3 linked regions of the Astyanax mexicanus genome follow. The protein of the gene in region 1 interacts with the protein of each later gene in a biochemical or structural test. Links are inferred from orthologs where the notes say so. Each region holds a gene or a part of one and is shown in the gene's direction. Other genes may lie near its edges.

Region 1 (6,937 bases):
AACTAACTCCATTGCTGATTGTTCTATCAACATTTAGTACAATAGTGTACAATAGAGGTAATAGTTCAATTAGGATAATTCACTTGTTTTTCCATTTTAAAAAATCTTACTTTTTTTTTTTGTTTTACTACTTTGTTACTTTTAAACGACCAACACAATATTTTTACATATAAATGAAACATAACATTACAATTTCGTTTTAGTTTTTGCAGGGGGTTGTTGCAAATATGAAATTAACCATTTTCATGTTATATGTTAATTATACAAATAAAGGCAAGCTGAAGACGTTTCATACAGAAAAAATACTTTTACTATCTTTCTAAATGGATCAATTTGACCCGTAACGTAACAGGAGGGTTAAGTCGATGCACATTTATTACCTTTGTACTGAATGTAGTTACAATTAATGTGCACCGATATAGTAATTGTAAGCTCATGTTGTGTTTTGTTGCTTTCTGTTTTACAGCATCCAACACATGTCCAGGCCACTCCTGACCCTTCACGGTTTGGCCAGTGTGGTGTTTTCAAATGCCCCTGCTTACAGTTTCCTTCATCTCTAAACTGCACACCTACAGCACACTTTTATTGTGTCTATTGCAGCCATACAATACTATGCAAAGACCAGTTCAGACATCATGTATCTCTGTGCAGCAGTGCAACCAAGACCATTATAGCAGAAGTGTTTAATCCACAGACTGTTGCTACTTCTGATGCACGTCCAGCTCCCCCTCTGCCAGCTACTCCTGATACACCTTCTCCCAGTTCTGGTCTTGCTTCCTCTGTGCATGGTATTAATTATATTAATTATTATATTTTCCCTCAGGAAAGTTCAGCGTGTTGAACGTGTGACTGATGAAGGAGATAGAATGGGCAACGTCTCCTTTGAACAGGTGTGAGGGTGTGGATGTGTGTTTTTTTTTTATTTCGGGTTAATTTAACTGGGCCATTTAAAATGTTTTACTGTTGTGGTTTGTTTTCAAAAGTCTGAATTGGGCTGAAAAGATAAGTTGACATTATTTGAAATTTCAACTTGACCTAGTGTTGACTAGTCATTTCAAGGACATTTGAAGCCCATAAGCTATTGGAGTGCTATCATTTTAAAGGGATAGAAAAGCAGAGAGCTGTTTTGTTACGTTAAGGCAGAGATTAGTCAACAGAATGAGGCTGACTACAGTCTTCAGGCAAAAATGCTAGCCATTCCTACAGTAATCAGAGATTGGGGATATGATTGAAATAATAAGTGCCAACTCAGATTAATAGAATACCAAAATAGTAATTGGTTGCAGCCTTAGAATGTTATCTGGTCATTTTTTTCAATTACTATAATTTTCATGAATCAAAATCTACATGCTTCTATAATGTTTTTCACAGATGCCCCTTATTCTCATAGATACAGTTCTGGATGAGGGTGACAAAGCTTTTTTAAAGCTGTCACTGGTTTGTCGTCTCTTCCGGGACATTGTTTGGACAACAATCATTCCGGGCCCGGGCACATTTCGAGTGGCTTGACAGTAAGCATGATATTTCAGTACAGTTAAGATGTTTGTTTTCCCTTAGAAAAGGAATTACACTCACTGATTTTGAAATCATTTTAAAATTCTTGATTTTTTTAAACCTACAGGTGTAGTGCCATGAAAACATCACAGTGCTGCATGTAAAGACGAGTTTCGCAGGATGTACGAACTGCAGTGCTGCCAGAACTGTCAAGAAACTTATAAAGACTACATACTGGGTATGTTTGTTCTAAATAAATTTTGATAATTTTTTCCTGAGGTCAGAAATTGGTAAGTCAATATATTTAAGGTATTGGGGCTTGGGAGATTGTTACTTTGTGAAAGTGTGTGTTTTTACTTATATTACAGGCTACGTTGGGCATGGGAGACGAGGGGAGCTTGTGGCATTTTACAGCGAAAACGAGCACCCTGGATTCTGCAGCCAGCTTCATGAATGGCTGGGTGTGTGAGTGGCTGGGTGTGTGAGTGGCTGAGTGTGAGTGGCTGGGTGTTGCATTTTTAAATAAAGACTTCTGTATTTGTTTGACCAAAGCATGTAACCAAACATTTTAAAGGCTAGTGTGCCAATAAATGCCAATAAAGATATTGTATTAGCTTGGACAAAGTGTTTGTAAATGGAGTTAATTTCCCTGGGAACTACTGTCAGCCATACAAAATTGGGAGAGGAGAAGCAGGAGAGGGATATCATTATTATTATTATTATTATTATTATTATTATTATTATTATTGACAAAATAGCTATGTATACATATATTTTAATTTCTGAAACCACAGCATTTGATATATTGTACTCTATCGTTATACACTATCCAGCATACCATTATTACCACCTGCTTGTTTCTGCTTCTATTATTCTTTTTTTAGCTCCAATTAGCATCTAGGACACTTTAGTTGCATAATGGTTTACTGGTGTATAATATACAATAGGTATAAAACACTGTTCACTCTATTAGACACTTCTACCAACAGCTGCTTTACATTGTGAGTGAAAAGTCAGAGACAGAATCTTTAAATCTGTTGCTGCACAGTTTGTTGCAAATCTGCAAATTCTTCATCAGTGCCCATGGGATGCTGCCTACTTGATGCTGAATACAGGACGCTGCCCACATGATGCTGGTTGATGGAGCATTTCCTGTCCAGTAGTGACAATGAGGTGTTTAAATTCTCCAGAGGCACTACTTTGTCGGATCCACTCATACCAACACAGCTCTTAACACCACTATGTCAGTGTCACTGTAGTGTTGTGAATAACCAACAAGCCACATAATAGCTGCTCTGTGGTGGTCCTAAATTGTATGCTATACAGTGCAGCTGTGTCATTCTCATCTGTAATATTTTCAGCACCCTGTTGACAGTGAAGATGCAGAATTACTTCTAATATCATTATTATATATTAGCTATGCCTATGACACAAATAGCCTTCCCCCTGCTGAGTGGTGATAAGAAGCACTGTCTATCTGTAATATGAAGTATAGAGCATTACAGTACAGAGAACAGGTGTGATCTAACAATCAAACACTTTAATAATCAGATGCACCCTTTGACCAGCCTCTACCAGTGCAAAGCCATGATTGATAATGTGCTCTTTATTTCATATGGAACATAACCAAAAACTGTATATCGTAAGTTTTAACTTTATATAATAAGTAAATAATGATTCCTATGATAGCTAATCAATAATTCTGGAGATATTTACCAGTCTAAAATAAATTTATAAAATCTACACACTCTGGCAACTAGTTTAACAAATTTAAATGTAAGGATTAATGCAGTGAAATAATGGCTTACTCTGCTGGTGAGTGGGACAGATTAATGTATTGTGATATACAGGACAGAGGCAATTGATCTTTTGGAAACAGCAAATCGTTGTATGCAATTATTTGCTTATTGTATAAAATAAAGGAGAAATGGCACACGTGATGAAAAAGAAGAGTTCCCTCTGTTACACAGAATGAGTTACCAGCCTCATAAACCACAAGTTAGCAGCATGCCATATAAGAAAAACAATAAAATCATACACTTTTAAGTTCACATGATTCCTTATGTATTACTTTATTTACAATGTTAAACCAAAAATGAATGAGAAAGTGTTTCCAAACTTTTGGCTGGTACTGTATATATAGCCTATTTTTTGTGATATCTGTGCATTACACTACAGCATGTGTTGTGCTGTAGCCAAGGCTACGTGGTGGAACTACTCACAAGATATGCGTAAATTTAGCGCAACATCGGCGTTATATGCGTATTTCACGTGGCACACAGTGCTTCTTGAACAAAAAAGTAGGGGGGTTGGCGTACAAGAGCACATGTGGGCGGAGTTGGATGTGGGCGGAGTTGGATGTCCAACTCCGCCTTCCTACAGGCTGCAGCGAGACGTACTTGGAAGGAAGTGTGAAGAAGTGAGAGAGAGAGAGAGAGAGAGAGGGGGGGGGGAGGAGGAGGAGAGGAGGGGGACTCGCGTGTTGACTAGAGTCTGGGTTTTATTTCAAAGGAGCGACTCCAGCACTCGCTACAAGATGGACACTCTCGTCAAAGAGGGGCAACTTTATGTCCAGCACCAGAAGTTCGGCAAGGTAAGCTGCTCTGTTCTTCCCTCCAGACTTCAGCCTCCCCCCACACTCTCCGTCTGCTGCTCCAAACACCGCGTTGGCTGAGGTTATTTACATCTTAGATAGTCTCAGACACACTTCCACACACTCTCTCAGTAAACTTGAACTAGAACTGTGGTAATAATGGAAGTTCACCAGAACTAAGCTAAACTGCGTGTTATTTACATCTAGATAGTCTTAGACACACTCTCTTAATAGAGTTAAAGAGCTGTGGCAATAATGTAAGGGCACCAGAACTGAGGTAAACTGCGTGTTGCTGCAAACACCAAAGACATTGTCTTAAGTTATTTACATCTAGATAGTCTCAGACACTCTCTCAGTAATTTTAAAGAGCTGTGGTAATAATTTAACAGCACCGGAACTGAGGTGAACTGCGTGTTGCTGCAAACACCAAGGACATTGTCTTAAGTTATTTAGTATTTACATCAGGATTGTCTCAGACACAGTTTTGTTCACTCTCTCAGTAGTGTTATAGAGCTGTGGTAATAATGTAAGATCAGATAGATAGATAGATAGATAGATAGATACTGTGGTAATAATGTAACAGCACCAGAACTTAGATGAACCATGTGTTGCTGTAAACATCGAGGACATTGTCTGAGGTTATTTACATCCAGACTGTCTCAGACTCACTTCTATTAAGGGTGGATATTTACAGAGTTAGCAGAGTTGGACAAATTCATATCCATCTGATGTCACTTACAAGTAAATAAAGCTACATCTCTAAAAGCAAGGGTGTATGAATATATAAAAGTATCACAGTATATTGACACCAATATATGGTATGTATCGTATCGCCAAGTTCTTCCCAAAAAACTGCTCTACTAAAAACAAGCACCAAAACACTACATTAGTACTGAGAAACTTATAGCACTGTACTTTTATTAGTACATTTCTGTATCTCTCAGCACAGACGCTGACGTTCATAAGGTGCACTTGTGGTCTAAATAAAAAAAATAAATTGTAAATCAGTACAAACAACCTGGCATGAATCTGACGACTAATGTGTTAAACACAAGTAAAATAATTTAATCACAAGAGTACTTCTGTTAAAGTAGCATTATTTAAAAATACTCAAGAATTTATAAAAATTAACACTTGAGTACATATAGCTAAGTAAACATTCCTGAGTAAATGTAGAGCTAGGTTAGTCACAGTATTTGGGTTATTGATTCATCATTATACAGTACGTAATGTAATGTACACAATGAATATCTCTACCTGCAAATCACTTCATGCACCGTGTTCTAAAATGAACATCAGTTGGGGAAAAATTTGAAAGCTGTTTCTTGAAGTAAAATTTTGTTAAAAATACAAAAGTAAAAGTACAAATCCATTAAATTCATATTAGAAAACGTGTATCTGCGTAAATTTAACAAGTTGCTACACACTTCTATTTATGTGTAACGTTTGACTGAATAATTCCACTCATTAAAAAAAAAAAACAGAAGTTCAAGAACTCATATCAGTTAATCATAACACATATCTGTAACCATGAGGTCTCGCTCCATTCTTCTCTTTCCTGTGACATGAGATAGTCACATGAATGAGCAGCACAGTCAGACACACACCACCAGCACGACTGCCCTCTGTTTTGGACGTTGCTGTTTACAAAAGGAAGCTTGCATGCTCGAACACAGCGTTCAGGAAAAGCAGTTATTTTCACTGTCGGATATTTAGGTGTAGTTCTACAAAAAAAATTGTATCCAACAGACACACACACATAACTCTTTTCTCACGCTCTGCAATCTATTAATTCACTTACACTAAATTTACAAACGTTTGAAAATGTGTTGCCTTATCTTTTCACCAGAAGCACAAATAAAAAGTGTAAAAATGCTACATCACCTAAACATCTCAGTTCATGCAGGCTAAGCACACTGTGTTAAGCCAGTTTGCTTTTACCAGTATTTCACACTGACATGAATCATGTGACACTCAAATCTCAAGTCTCTAAAATCATAGCCAGTGGCTCTACTTCAGGCTTAGTATCTATTCTTATAGCTTCCTTAATGTGTCTCTTGAAACTATTCTCCCTATTTGGCAAAGGAAAAGTATGAGCAAACAATTTCACATTAGTAACCCTGAGGCAACAGATAAGAGTCATAGCTGCTGTGAAGACCTGTGGATATCGACGTTGTCACACAACAAGCTTTTATTTTCAAAACCTGACAGGAGAAAATAAAATCAAATTTAAAAGTTATTTTTTTATGTGTTTCTTTATGGAACATTTTGCCTTTTGTTTTCTTTAACTTTTTAGCAATTAATTGGCTTTGTTGGATGAGCAAGAGAACAGTTGTGAGTTTGGAACTGCTTACTAGACTCTGCTTTAGGCCAGTCACTGACCTCCTGTGTTGGGTCTTCTGAATTCAGTCAATGTGGATGATATTTCTGCCAGAGTTCTGTTCGCATGGACAGTTTACTTAGTAACCAGTCATTACTTTCTATATGATATATTCCTGATGTGGGTCAGGGAATGTAAAATGCCTGTACAACTTCAGAAATGCAATGTGCCATCTATTTGGCACCCACTATTAGACCTTGCTCAATATCAGACTGATCAAATACATATGTGTGTTGCATTTGTAAGTTTCCCTATTTGATATGATGAGTTATCTTACCAATTTACGTCAGACTGAGTGTAAACAGCAATATTATTTGGCTCAGAGCGGTGACGATTTTAGGAATGGTTAATTCTTGCTTTTAGCTAGTGGAGATGGTACAGTTTTGCATTTTAGTGAACAACGGTTCCTTATTTGTTTGTGAAAAATGTATGTAAAAATGTTAATGTATATTTCTTTGAAATAACAATTT
Region 2 (7,003 bases), on another chromosome or scaffold:
ATGGGTAACAAAAGACTCCTGCAAAGATTTGCTTTAATAGTTGCTTTTATGAATGTGACTCCACTATACTGCAGTTCTTGCCAAAGCAATCCCTTTCCTATGATTCTATCAGCGGTTGTTAAATGACGGTTCTAGATTCAGTACCATCTGATGAAATGAATATGACAGGTGTTCGGCTTAGGCTTGTGCTCTCGCCATTTATGCACTGAAATTCCTCCTAATTCCTTGAATCGTTGTGCAATGTAGAGGGAGAATTCAGCAAAACTGTTCCAATCTTTCTTTGAGGATTATGTATTGGCATATCAATTCTGTTGTACACTTCCATTTTCTCCACTTGATACAATAGGGTCCTTTTATAAAAAAAAGGATGCAACTTTACATTTCATAGAGTTGTTAGATAACCGAAACCCTCCTAGTCTGTTAGCAGAACAAGACATTACCCAAAAGTCGTTTTTATTACAGTATATTGTTATTGTTGCGATTCATTGCTTTCATCACTGTAAAGCTGGTGTTACGCCGCCTTATGCAGCCTCTACCGAGAGGGGGTGCTTTTTCTGGCGGGGGTGCTGAATTCGGCACCATAGTAGTGTCGAAATCTGCACCCTCACCATGGAAACACCCTCTCTTGGAAGAGGCTGCAGGTGACATGATTCTTTTTCCTTATTTCTTACGAGTCAGTGTAGCTTACAACAGTATCTTGGGTATACTGTCAAGGTAAAGCCAAGAAGGTGTGGGTGCGTGCTCCTGAGAGGGGGTGCTTTTCCTGGCAGGGGTGCTGAATTTGGCGTAACACCAGCTTTACAGTTATGAAAGCAATGAATCGCAACAATAACAATATACTGTAATAAAAATTACTTTTGGGGGGGCAAATTTACCTATTTCTGATATTGGGGGGGACACATCCCGCCCATACCCGCCCCAGTTCCAGTTCCTACGCCAATGTTGGGGATCCTCTTTTTGTATCAAATTATGATTATGATCAGTAATCAGCGCGTAGGGCACCTAAAAATCAAGCTCATACAAAAATGATCATAAAAATAGTAAACATAATATTGGCATATTTAAATAAAATTATGTATAACATATTAATAGATACACACAATACAAAAGTAACATATTTGCTTGAGGAAAAAAGATTGGAGTGTGCCTCTAGGCTCTGCAGTATGTGTGCCAACAGTTTCTGGAATGTGTTACAGGCCTGAAATGCAGGAATTGAAGTATATTAACAAATGAAATGAAGCTGACCAGACACGACTCTAATTACCGCTGAGCTGCATTAGCCTCTTAGCCTCATAGCTTTAAAACAGACACCAAATTAGATTTTTGGTTAAAGCATCACTTTAGCATCACTCGCTCTCTCCCTCCTGCCCCTCCCCCTCTCCCTGCCTCCTGTTTGTTGGCCACATTGGTTGGCCATGTGTGCGGTGTGTGTGTTTTGTGTGTCTGTGTGTCTACGGGGGGCTGGGGAATCAGGAGGAGGTCACGTCATGTCAGAGCCGAAGCCTGCCACAGCGCGGAAAGCGGGGGAGGCTGAGGAAGAGGAGGAAGTTGATGAAGACTGACAGCATATGTCAGCAGGCTCCACGTCAGGGACCGGGCTCTGCTGGCGTCTGCTTAAGAGACGTGAGAGAGAAGCATAAAAAGAGCAATCTGCAAAACGGTTAGGGGTGTTATAGGGCTGGAGGGGCATGATGGAAGATGAGCTGCTGAGAGATTGCAGAAAGAGACAGTGATAATGATGGAAGTGAAGGGAGCACATGTTCCATGAACTACGAAGAGGCCGCAAGCAAGAAAGGCAAAGGAGTAAGAAGCAAACACATATAGTATATCAGACTGAAGCTACTGGTTATCCTGTGGCTTCTAGTATATGTATATGTGTGTTTTAAGGTTAAGGAAGTGTCAAAATTATAGTTTTTGCTAATTGAGTACAGCAATTAAGAAAAACATTAAAACACATTATCCATTTCTCAGATATATTGAGCATATATATATATATATATATATATATATATATATATATATATATATATATATATATATATTTCTTTACATACTTTATTATCTGGGTGTACTACCTGGGTGGTGGGTCATTCTTCATTTTTCAACATGTTTTTTCAACACGCTTTTCAACAAGACAATGCAAAACACATGCTTCACACATTGCAAAGGCATGGTGTTTAAAAACACCAGCAGCACAACTGTGTCTGATCCACTCATGCCAGACCCACACATGCACTAACACACCACCGCCCTGCCAGTGTCAGGAGCTCTTGTTTTTTAAATATTCTGAACATGAGATGCTGTACAGTGCTGTTCAATATCAAAGTCAATTTTACCTATACAGCCCAGATAAAAGGGACTTGGCTCAGAAATTCTACAGACGAAATCACATTTGGAGATGGCAGAGTGCTTAGTCAAATTACTAACTGTACATATGGGAAATGCCACTGAGCGGAAGCAGATGTTTGGAATGGAGACAAGAGTGGCAATGAACGCAGATGCATCCACAGCCCGGCTGGTTCCCATAGTTACATCAGATTTGCATCCAATTTCCAGCAACATCCCCAGTCTCTTTTAAGCAAAACAAACCTGGCTACTGGAGAAGATCTATTGTCTATATTGTGTCTAGATTATTTGTATTGGCCCCTATGAGCAACCTATAATTCTAACTACATCAAATTGTTGTAGTCAGTCGGCCAAGGCATTCAGCTGCTCAAACTGTATTTATTTAGAATAATCAGTTTCTCTGGTTTAACTATTTATAGGTATATGTTTTAGTTAAATGAACATTGTGGTTTTATTTTATTCTAAACTACTGACCACATTTTTCCAAATTTTCAAATAAAAATATTGTCATTTAGAGCATTTATTTGCAGAAAATGAGAAATGGTTAAATTAACAAACAAAAAAAAAAAGATGCAGAGCTTTCAAACCTCAAAGAAATCAAGTTCCTGTTCATTTAAAAACAACAATACTAAAGGTTTTATCCAAGGAAGAGTTTAGAATCGATAATTGGTAGAATAACCCAGATTTTTTATCACAGCTTTCATGAACTGCTTGCATTTTTGTGCCAGGAGTGGAATAATGTCACCCAAAAGCAGTGTGTTAGACTGGTGGAGGAGAACATGCCAAGATGCATGAAAGCTGTGATTAAAAATCATGGTAATTCTACCAAATATTGATTTCTGAACTCTTAAAACATTAGCATTGTTGTTTCTAAATTAACGTGTTTTCTTTGCATTATTTAAGGCTATTCATTATTTAGACCATTTTTATTTGTAACTTTGAAGAAATGCCGTCAGTAGTTTACAGTAGTAAAACCACAATGTTCCTTGTACTTAAACACATACCTATAAATAGCAAAATATATTTTTATTATTATTATTGAAATTATTCTGAAGTGGTCTAATATGTTTTCCAGAGCTGCATAGCAAACATTAGCTAGCTAGCTCACACTAGTAGGCAAATATAGTATTAAAATATTATATTAATGTTTGTTTTATTAAATATTGAACATACAATCCTAAAATTGTACAGTCAAAACTTTGTATGGGTACATCTGCAAGATACTTGCTATATGTATAAGTTAATCCTTAGCTTTTCAGATAGCTGTGATTTTTTTTTCTGCACGAGCAACAGATCTCATCGAGTTTGTGAACAGTTGTGAACAGCAACGAACCGATTCATCTGAACGGTCTAGCTCTGATTTAGTTCAACGAATCGAATCACACAATACAGGAAAGAAAGTAGTGAGACCACTTTTCACAAAACACAAACTATGAGCATAGTGTAGTCTTTTAGGGGCTTGCGTTAGTAACTGCACTGAACTGTTTATTAGCTGAACTGTTAAGAGTGTGGACTATGAACGGGCGCAAACATTGAGTTAGACGTTTAACGTTGGAGAGTCGGTTCGGCAGATTTCAGAGTGATTGAAAAGAACAGAACGGTTCATTGACTCACTGAATTCACGACTCTGCGCTCTGTTAGCCGGGTCTTAGGGGGGGAAAGGAGTGGGACTGACTGGGAGCAGCTGTGGCAAAATGTCCAAGTAATCTCGAAAGAAAAGCGAACTTGCGCAGGAGGAAAACATTGCAGCCCGTTTTTTGGGGTGGAAATGAGGAAAGCGGCGGGTTCTGGGCGCTAGGACGCGGGGGTGGGTAGTGTGGCGTGGTGGAGGAGGCGGATTGGAGTGTTTTTTTTTTTTCAGGACTGACTGGAGTGGAAAGAAAATAACAGCCACAGAGAGTTAACCTAACTAGCTAAAAAACAAGAGGACTGGCTTCAGACCGACAATAAAAGCGCTTATTCCCGTCAAGTGGATTGCCAATACCTACTGGAAGGCAGGACGGGTTGTTTGTCTTGTGTTTTTGTGAGGTTTGGGCGCTTTATTCTTCATATTTTGTGTGGAAATTTTTAATTTTTCTGTCTTTTTCTGGCTAAACTCGAAACTCAGGAAACAATGAAGACATAACTCATCGAGTGGCCGTCAGCTAGCCTGGCTAGCTAGCTAGCAAGCAAGCAGGCATCGTGTGGAGCGAGCGAGCTAGCTAGCTTAGCTAACCTAGCTAGGTTAGCCCTAGCTAGCTAACGTAGCTAGTTAAGCGAGCTAGCGTAGCTAGGAGACAGCCACAGCTAGCCTGGGAGCTAGCTAGCTAGTCCAGCTGAGCTGAGCTGAGCTAAGTTGAGCTTAGCTGAGTTTCCCCCCTTGAGGAAAGTTTATTGTACGTCTTTTTTTCCACACACTTGAGGAAATATTTGAACGTGGAGGAGTTTAAGGATAGAGAACCGCACAGCCGCAAACGCCCCGCAGCCCCGCTTCTCCACCGCTTTCCCTGCCTTCAATGGACGCGGAGGTCAGAAACGAAGACCGGCCCACCGTACAGCCAGGGAGCGGGCTTACGGCCTTTTACCCCAAAACCAGCCGGCTGCGGGTGAGCGAATTCCGCCAGCAGCCTTCCCACACGCCGCTTGACAACCTCTCCGACCTGATGATTTACCCAGTGGCGGGGGAAGAGCTGTCTGCCGCGGGGAGTGGCAGCGGCGGTAGCGGCCAGCCCGGGGCTCATGGATCAGGGAGCTCAGGGACTGCAGCTGCTGCCGGCGGAGGCGGCGGCTGCTATTCCCCCACTTTAGAGGGACCAGATACCCGGATGTCTCCCACCTCGGCCGGCACGGACGGGCTGTCCGCCTTCCCTCCGCTGCCCCCGCCGCCACTTCCACCTCTTGCCTACGGGGCTCACGGCAGCGTGGACGAGAGTGACCAGCAGGATGGACCAGAATGCGAGGAAGAGGAGGCTGTGTTCTCCCTCTCCGCGCCACCCACTAACCAGTAAGGATGGCACCCTTCTTCTAATGCTTTCCACAAGTCTTTCTAGTTCCTCACAGGCTTCTTATAAAGCTGCTGAAAAAGCTACTAAAGTTCTGAAGTGGTGCTAAACTATGCGAAAGACTTGGTGTGTAGGGGAAAAAGGTTAATGAGCACAAACCTTTGTTGCTTCACATTTCATTGATAGAATTTTGAGGGCACTGACCTTTAAAACGAGCCACTGAGAACTTTAAAAGTTTACAAGAAGTTTATTTTTTTTATTATACTACAGTTAGTTCCGACCCTACAGTGTGATTGGCTGTGAGGCGTTCTGTGATTGCCATTATCACCTGGTAATGCACTGTAACAGAAACTCTGTTTTACTCGGCTGCATACAGGTAACCTAGCAGAGATGCAGATTGCAGAACTTACCAGTCAAACAGTGCAGCTACAAACAGAGCAGCAATGGAACTGTTTTAACTCACATAGTGCTTATGACCAAACAAATCGTATTTTCCGTCCTCTTTAACTCAAAATCTTTTAATAAACAGCGATACTGGAACTGTGGTATAATCACAGTAATACATGAGTGCCTTCAGGTGTATTTTTCGGCATCATCATAATTTTGTAATTAAGTCACAAAATCGACTGATGAGCCTGAACGAATAGGTAGGACAGGGGAACAGATTACAACATTATTTCTGTGAAAATGCATGAATATTTTAAAGGTCACCTTCCGTCGTTTTTTCTTTCATTTTAAAATGTCTAGTTGTGGTCTCTAGTATGAATGAATGACATGTGAGCCGTTTTTGTAAAAAAAAAAGTGCTCAGGTGTCTCTGTATAGCTCTTTTTTAATGGACTGTTTTAGGGGTGTGTCCAAAATGACCGGATTCCAGCTTTGCTCATGAATATTCATACATGCAAACAGCATGCAAATATCTCTCCTCTGATTGGCTAGGAGCACTGCGACGCCCCTCCACCGCTCTGCCGCTCACTGCCTCCCACCTCCTAACTGATGAGCGGTGATGTTGCGTCGCTTCAGCTCCGCCTCTGGGAGTTTCTGGAGCCAAGGTGGGCTGGTCTGTGAGTTTCTGCCTACGTAGGCAGAAAGATAATTCAAAATTCACCCGTTTTTCGGAGGGGGGGAGGGGGGATTTCTTTGCTTAGCTCCTGCAGACAATGGGGGCTGCAAAACAGTTTAATGTGCAGGTGTACACATTCAACTCGGAGAGACCTACTGTATTCCACAAAAAACAAGAAAAATCGGATTTTCGCGGAAGGTGACCTTTAAAGATATTTTCAGCAACAGCTGGAGTTCAACTTCCCCAAGGTACTGTGGTAATAAACAGTCTTTTTGTTTTTTTTAAATAAACTACCGGTACACATTCAAAATTCTCAGTGCCTTGTTTTAAATGTCAGGGCCCTCGGAATTCTACCAATGAAGTTTGGCACTACTTCAGTGTTGTGTTGCCATATATCTGGTAATATGTATATATATCGATAATTCTAAAACAAACAAACAAACAAAAAAAAAAACGAAATATCTCCAGCCCTAATAGAGACTCACGTGGGGCTTGTATAGCAATCAGATTTTCTATTTTGTCCATGGGTTCCACTCATTCATATGAATGTCAGTGATTGGCCCCTCAGGGTTGTTGGAGGAACCAGAATGGATTAAACATTGGCTTAGTCTGGGT
Region 3 (7,684 bases), on another chromosome or scaffold:
TATGACCACAGTGTACACATCTTCTGATGGCTACTTTCAGCAGGATAATGCACCATGTCATAAAGTATGAATCATCTAGACAATGAGTTCACTGTACTTGAATGGCCTCCTTGGTCAACAGATCTCAATCCAGTAGAGAACCTTTTAGGATGTGGTGAAATGGGAGATTCGCATCATGGATGTGCAGCCGACAAATCTGCAGCAACTGTGTGATGCTATCATGTCAGTATGGACCTGATTCTCTAAGGAATTTTTCCAGTACCTTGTTGAGTCTATGCCAGAAAGAATTAAGGTAGTTCTGAAGGAACCTGGTACTAGCAAGGTGTACCTAATACAGTATGTATATAATGTCAGCTGTAAAAGAGATCTCAAAATTACTTTGGCATATGAGATTTGACCGCAATGCGAGGAAACCACCAGAAGTCCACTGAAACAGAATAGCAGGTGCTCAAAGGTGCTAGAAAATGATTTAATGTTTCAAGAGAAACAGAACGCTGTGAGCTTCACTCAGGAATTCATGGCACGACTACCATCCAGAAAGCTTTTGTATCAAAAGACCAGAGTGCAAAGACCTTTACAGGAAGTTCTGAAGCACAAATACAGTAGCATGCAAAAGTCAAAGAACACCTTGCGTTTATTTAATTCCTAGCCTAGCTTTCAGGAGATATTTCTGCGGAGACAAGAAATAAGATAATCCTCCAGCATCCGCTCAGGACTTCAATGACTGCATTCCAAGAAGATTAAAGCTATTCTGGAGGCGAAGGGTGGCCTATGTCCAACCTTCAATCAGAACAATTTTTTGTTACATAGACCAGAATACACATCAATTAAGCATAAAATCATCGATTAACCCACTGACTAATATGTGGGATCTACATATTAGGCAGCAAATGAACAGTCAGTTCCTAAAGGTGTTGGGGTTTTTGAAAGCAGGAAAAATTGACTTTTAAAAAAAGTGTAGGAATCTGAGCTACGTTGATATCAATGTCCGATTTGTAATGACCAAGGGATTGAATGGTTTAGAGGATCTCCAAAACATCAGATCTTGTAATGTCTTTGAAACAGATGCCCTGCATGGTGTCCAGCATGTTTCGCTGAGCATAATGCCTCTTTTCCCAAACTTGAAATTCCTCCAAAAACTTGCATGGACACAGTGTTTGTTCACGGCTGTGGTAATTAGCGCTATCTGGCTAATATATCAGTTTAAACTGTGCTTTAGGCCAAAAGCAAAATCAAACTACACCAAAGAACAGTGAGGACGGGGCACTAAAACCGCGAAAGAGAGCAGCATTAGTGACGTTTGACCACAACCTTGAAACCTGAAGAGACTAACAGTTAGTCTCTTACAAACAGTATTCACTCTCACAGTAAAGACGATTAAAATCACATTCTAATCAGTAAATCATTTATTTATTACAGCTACATCATCTACATAAACAAGCTACTGATTGTGTAAACTCTGTAAAACCCTGAATTGCCTGCATTAAACTGATTTTACAGTCATACCTATGGAGTAGTTGTAACCCAGTATGAATCTGAAGGGCTTGTAATTTTACACTAGAATAGTCAGAATCATAGAGTGATTTAAATCCTGTGTGAATCTGCAGTGCATCTAGTTTTAAAATCATTAAAAACAAGTATGATTATGCAGTATGTGTAGTTTTAACAATCTAAAAGTAGTAATTAGGTGTAATTTTAACCCAGTATGAGTGTGCGGTGTAAAGCTTTAACAGTCTTACAGTGTTAATTAAGATGTGACAACAAGTATGTATTTACAGTAGGCATAGTTGTTTCAGTCTAGTAGCAATAATTGTCTATTTTTTATCTAGTATGAATCTGCAGTGTGTTTAATTTTATCGTTGGCATTCATAATAATGAACATGTTTTAATCCAGTAAAAATCTAAAATGTTTGTAATTTTAACAGTATGACTAAGAGTTGTGATGTTACTTTAGTCCAGTATGAATCATCACAGTGTGCAAAGTCCAGCAGTATTAACTGTAGAGTGGTTTTATTCCAGTATGAATCAGCAGTGTACTTTATTTTTAAATCTGACCGTCATTATTTTGTAGTGATTTTAGTCCAGTATGAATTTAACAACCATACCATCATAATAGTAGCATGGTATTAATCCAATATGAATTTGCATTTTGTATATATTTTACAGTCTGACAGTGTTAAATATATTCTTTTATTAAACCAGTATGAATTTGCTGTGTGCATAGTATAACAGTTGATCACTCAAGTATGAATCAACATCATGTGCAATTTTTACAAATTGAACTCTTAATTTTGGTTGGCCTGTTTTAATCAGTGTGTTTACAGTTTGTGTAGTCTGGCAGTAATAATTGTATTGTGATTTTGATCCAGTATGAATCTGCAGGGTATATCATTTTTACAGTAAGACAGTTTACAGTATGGTCTGACTTTTATTCAGTATAAACCTGCAGTTTTTATAATTTTTACAGTGAGACAGTATGAATTATAGTCTGATTTTGATCCAGTATGAATGTGCTGTAAAATTGGAGATATTGTTTTTATTGAGACACGTTATTTTAACAGTGTAACCATACTAATTAGTGAGCAATTTTAATGCAGTATGAATATGTCATGCTAGTAAAATATCAGTTATCAGTGAGACGTGGTTGTGAGGTGTATGGTAATTGGTCCTACAGTGTATTACTGAAGTGAACGTCCAGCCTATTACCATCCTTTCTGTGGAAGTTTGAGGAGCTGGGGGACAATCTGCCAGTCAAATCTCATACATTATACAACCTATTTGAAGTAAACAATGTAATCCACCTAGATTTATTGTGTAGGTGTTTAAAGTACAGCAGCTTCAGATTAGTCTTAATGTTTTATTATATTTCTCTCTCTCTTTATAGATTGCAGCTCTGGCAGGCCCTGGTGGGAAAGTGGAAGTGGAGCAGAACTTTCTCAATAACAAACTCAAAACTATAACTGCATACTTCGGCAGTTTGATAAAGTCAGATTCTTAGTTTCGGTATTATTATTTTAACTCCCTCTCCTTTTGTACTTTATACACAGTTCTAATAATGTTCAGTGGATTCTGTACTATAATGTACTATAATGTGTCTTTCTGTATGTTTTATCCTACCATCCTTTTTTTTTACAAGTTATACCTGCCATGTTTGTAAAGGGAATTGTTTGTTTATTTGTTTTTTTAATAAATTAAAGTTCATGTCCTTTCGTGTGCATGTGTGTGTGTGGTCTTTGCCCTCACAGTGTTCACACTAAAACTGTTGACCGAGTGTGGGTGTGGGCAGGCCGGGGAACTGTGGAAGTACACTCATTTATCAGGGCTTAATTGTTTGTTAAATTTGAGGGGTTGCCAAATTGTAGTATTTCCTGCTTAGGAGTAAATGCAGTATAATTCACTATTTATCATCGTTCACTTATCTAGAAATTTGGCTCCTTGACCTGTTTTTTTTTTTTTTTTTTTTTTTTTACACCCAGATCAAAAGGGTAGTCCAACCATTTTTATAATGTAGGCATAGTTCATAGTTCATCACTTGAGATATATGCATAGTCATTCAGAGATTGAAATAGTTTATTGGAGAAAAATGGACTAACTAAAATTGATGGTAAATGTAACTCTGCATTCCCATGCCTACAACACAAATATATAATATTTTGTTTGCGGTCCAAATCAACCAGTGAATCGTTTCCTGTCTTTTAAATTTCATGTTTAATGCTGCTGACTGTATAATAGGAAAAAAAACTTTAAACTCAGGACTTAAACAGGAATAAAAGGGCTGCAAAATTTGTGACGATGGCGAAGACATTTGCCAGTGTTGGCTTGGTGGTTAGAGCAGTGTTATTGGTGATGGGGTTCTGGGTTTAAAACCCAGGTTAAAAAAAAACAGCCATTGTTAAACCCTTAAAGGGAATCCATTAAAGGAGGACGAGTAAACTACCTTAAAGTACTGTGTGTATAAACAGATTTTTCTTTTAAACTTCCTGTGCACATTTAAAGTTATCAGTGCTTTGTTTTAACTATTAGCACCCTCAGAATTCTTCCAGTGAAGTGTGGAACCGTTTTTGGCGACAAAAAAAAATAAAATAGTGATTTCTTTACATGGGCCTGTTAGGAGCATTGAATGCTGGGGGTGAATGGAGGTAGGCTACTCGACAAAAGTTCACACTCGTTATCATATTTTACTACACACAGGAATTCTCCTTTAAGCCTTACTACTTCCCAGTCCCAGGTGGATTTATAGTTCAATTTTAATGTGTCAACACAAATTTTGAATATGGTTGTCAGGAGCCCATATCTACTGTTTATTAACCACCAGAAATACTGTATCAACAACTGAGCAATACCATAGTAGCCACCTTGCTAAAACAGTACTCTGTAGTTTTTTTTTTTTCAATCAATCTTTATTCTGATGCTTTAACTGAGAAACCCCCAAAACAATAACTAAGTAGGAGTGTCTGCGTGGATTAAACATACAGCTCCACCTGTCTAAATTATAGTACGTTTTAGATCTACAACTTGTGCATTGACTTCCATGCGGCTGTTTTATTGGTTCTGGGCTGAAGGCCGGTTCAGTTTAAGCCCTCCATCGTTCACTGCACTGAGTTTTAGCCCCCTTTATGCAAATGCAGTGCGGGTAGCAGCAGGAAGTAGCTGCAGGTTCCTCTTTCTGTCTGTCTGTCCAGCTCACTTCAATGAGTCTCGCGACCACAGGCGAGAGAGAGAGAGCAGCGCGCGCTCGTTTGGCTTTACCCTCAATAAACTCTCTTAACTTAAATGCGTCACAACATTTAAGCTTCATATAACTACAGGTAAGATAATCCTTTAAATACAGTCTCTCTCCAGCTCCTCGTCTTTTTCCTTCCTTCTTCTTTTCTTTCTTTCTTTCAACTCTTTCCTCCTAACGAGCTGTTATACTCCTATCCGTTCTACTTTAAATCTTCTCATCTGACACGTTAACTAGCTGGTGGTTTTCAGGTGCTAACCTGGATAGTGTTAGTGAAAAAGCTGCGGTATTTAAGGTGGAACGGACAATTCGAGTAATAAAATAAGTTAAGGTGATTTGTACAGTTTTGTGACGTGAACAGTTAACTTACAATAAAAGGGTTAAATAAGGTATAAAAGTAAGAAGATTTATAGTAAAACGTTAAAAAAGGTTTAGAAATAGCAAGAAATTACAGTACAGCCATATCAATTTGTATAAAAGTGAAAAAGCTAAACAAAAGGGCTATAAAACAGGAATTAACATTAAAAACAGTAAAACTGTAAAAAGAAACATGGGTGTACAATGTTAAAAAGCTTTAAAACTAGACAATATTGACAGCAAAACGTTACAAAAAAAAGGCTATTAAGCCGATAAAAGATAGAAAACGTAAAACCATATTAAAACAATGAAAGGGTGTGAAAAACAAGTTGACAAGTCAAAGAGGGGTACAAAAAATGAGAAATTTACAGTAAAACATTAAAAATGGTTTAAAATAAAAAATGTGAGAGTAGAACATTAAAAGGATATAGAACTGACAGACAAACATTAAAACTGTATGAAAATAGAAAATAATACTGTAAAATATTTGTAAAAGGGTGTAAAAATTGGAAAAGCAAAACGGTACAAAAAAAGGTACAAAAAAAAGAAAAATTCACAATAAAAAGTAAAATGTTAAAGAGATATAAAATTGGACAATTGACAAAAAAAGCATATGAAACTTAACAAAATGTCAAAAGAAATATTACATTAAAACAGTAAGAAAACAAAAGAATTCCGTAAAAAAAGGATACAGGGCGTAAAAACTGAGAAAAACTAAGAAAATGGTATAACATCAGGAACATTTGACAATACATTGTGAAAGGGTATAAAAACAGCCAAATCTACAGTAAAACATATATATTTTTTATATAACTAGACAAGAATTAACAGTTGAACATTAAATAAAGATATGAAAATTAACATAACTTGACAGTAAAACATTAAAGGCATACAACAGAAACATTTGGAGAGAAGTAATAGGACTGTTGCTGTTTAAGCTACTTTTTCTATTGGCTAACTAAAGTAAACTCTTATTTGTCTCTATATATAGATTCATGTTTAGATTTTGAGAAAAATATCCCACCTTTGCAACATTGTATATTTTTTTGTAATCTTTATCAACAGACATTGCAAATTGTGTTCACATCCTAATGTAGCCTAAAGCAGGAACTGGTCACTCAGTCCAGAATGACAGTTAGAGCGTGAGGTCAGATCAGCTTCTGCTTGACCAGAATAAAATTGCTGCTTAATGCTCATCGTTGCCAGAAAAATGGAGGGGAAATCCTGTACAAGGTCCCAGAAGAGCTTGAAGTGAGAGATCTTAATCAGCAGTGGCTTTAGAAGAGCCCAGTAAACTCCCCCGACTCCCTTATCCCATATCTCATGGTTTTACACATAGTACACATGCAGTGCATTAAACAATTAAGCTCAATTAATATTTGAAATTTAATTAGTAATGATCTTTTCATCTGTACTTTTATAAAAGTGAAGTAATAGTGATTAGTTGGCACATTTTGTCTCGATGGTGCAATGAATTACTCTTTTTGGTCTTCCTGAACACACCCATTTCTTAACATTTTGTCTTTCTTCCTTTTTCTTTTTAATCATGTACATTTTTAATTAACTACTTAATTACTAATCAATAGTGACAGTGCTTATTAATTTAATACCTTCAAACCACTAATTTAGTTTAAATATTTGGCTAGGGAATTGTGAAGTGTGAACTGATTACAAGACCCTCAGCCGATCAACCAATACATTAAAAACAATTTTGTGTAGGTCGCATTTGTGACACCTACATAGGTCTGTCCTCTCGATGAGGGACTTTACAAGACCTGTGAAGGTGCCCTGTGGTATCTGGCATCAAGACATTAGCAGCAGACCCTTTATGCTATGTAAGCTGGGACGTGGGGCCTCCATTGATCATATCAGTGGTCTTCACTGGTTTCCTGTCTTGAAGCACTTCTGTGTACTGGAAAAATCCCACTAAAGACTTGCCTGATATTTTGGAGATGCTCTGATCCAGTTGTCTAGGTGTCACTATTTGGCCTTGCGACAGTGTCTCAGATTCTCATGCTTGCCCTTTTTATCTTCAAGAACTGACTGTTCACTTTGAGCCTAAAATATCCCACTTCTGGACAGGTGCCTTTGTAAAAAAAATCAACCAATCCATGTTTTTTGCCTCATCTGTCCGCAGTTATAATCTATTGACTGATTTATATAATATAAATAATTGACGTTTTATTTATAAAAATCCTATAAATAAACTTTTCTGGTTTTTAACATACAGAACAGAATTTGGCTATAAATAAAAACAATAGTAATGATATTAGCCAGATGTTTATGTCTGGAATAAAATGATCATATTTTATATCTATAAAAATTAAATAACGTACAATTTGAGGTTTAAAGGACGATTAGTATAAAAGCTACTTGGCCTTTCGTGATACTAGAGTTAACGCCGTATCATACAATACACTTTTATACCCTCAATCATTTTTGCCGGCCTCCGTATTGCAAATTCACTTTAGTTTAGTTAATGAGTATGTACGCACCAAAAATAAAATCTGTGAGCAAAACTCAACAAAATGAAACGTTTGCCCAAAAGTTGAATAATAAATATAGAACACATTTTTTTTCACAGCTTTTCATTAATTTTGTTTA

What was found.
Region 2: the proteins of dok1b (region 1) and rasa1a form a complex in vitro, tested with the Homo sapiens proteins (2 studies listed by BioGRID, with this or other methods). The link is inferred for Astyanax mexicanus from reciprocal best matches to the Homo sapiens genes DOK1 and RASA1.
Region 3: of the proteins of dok1b (region 1) and lyn, one has a biochemical effect on the other in vitro, tested with the Homo sapiens proteins (2 studies listed by BioGRID, with this or other methods). The link is inferred for Astyanax mexicanus from reciprocal best matches to the Homo sapiens genes DOK1 and LYN.

Annotation. Positions count from the first base shown.
Region 1 is NC_064415.1:19,730,150-19,737,086, reverse strand, and holds the start of dok1b (docking protein 1b), read left to right. Parts: upstream 1-3,933; 5' UTR 3,934-4,030; coding exon 4,031-4,087; intron 4,088-6,937. UniProt on the Homo sapiens protein: DOK proteins are enzymatically inert adaptor or scaffolding proteins. They provide a docking platform for the assembly of multimolecular signaling complexes. DOK1 appears to be a negative regulator of the insulin signaling pathway.
Region 2 is NC_064429.1:21,771,145-21,778,147, forward strand, and holds the start of rasa1a (ras GTPase-activating protein 1), read left to right. Parts: upstream 1-3,979; 5' UTR 3,980-4,841; coding exon 4,842-5,329; intron 5,330-7,003. UniProt on the Homo sapiens protein: Inhibitory regulator of the Ras-cyclic AMP pathway. Stimulates the GTPase of normal but not oncogenic Ras p21; this stimulation may be further increased in the presence of NCK1.
Region 3 is NC_064411.1:37,347,629-37,355,312, forward strand, and holds the start of lyn (tyrosine-protein kinase Lyn), read left to right. Parts: upstream 1-4,660; 5' UTR 4,661-4,808; intron 4,809-7,684. Other genes in the region: tgs1 (trimethylguanosine synthase), read left to right, coding at 2,885-2,998. UniProt on the Homo sapiens protein: Non-receptor tyrosine-protein kinase that transmits signals from cell surface receptors and plays an important role in the regulation of innate and adaptive immune responses, hematopoiesis, responses to growth factors and cytokines, integrin signaling, but also responses to DNA damage and genotoxic agents.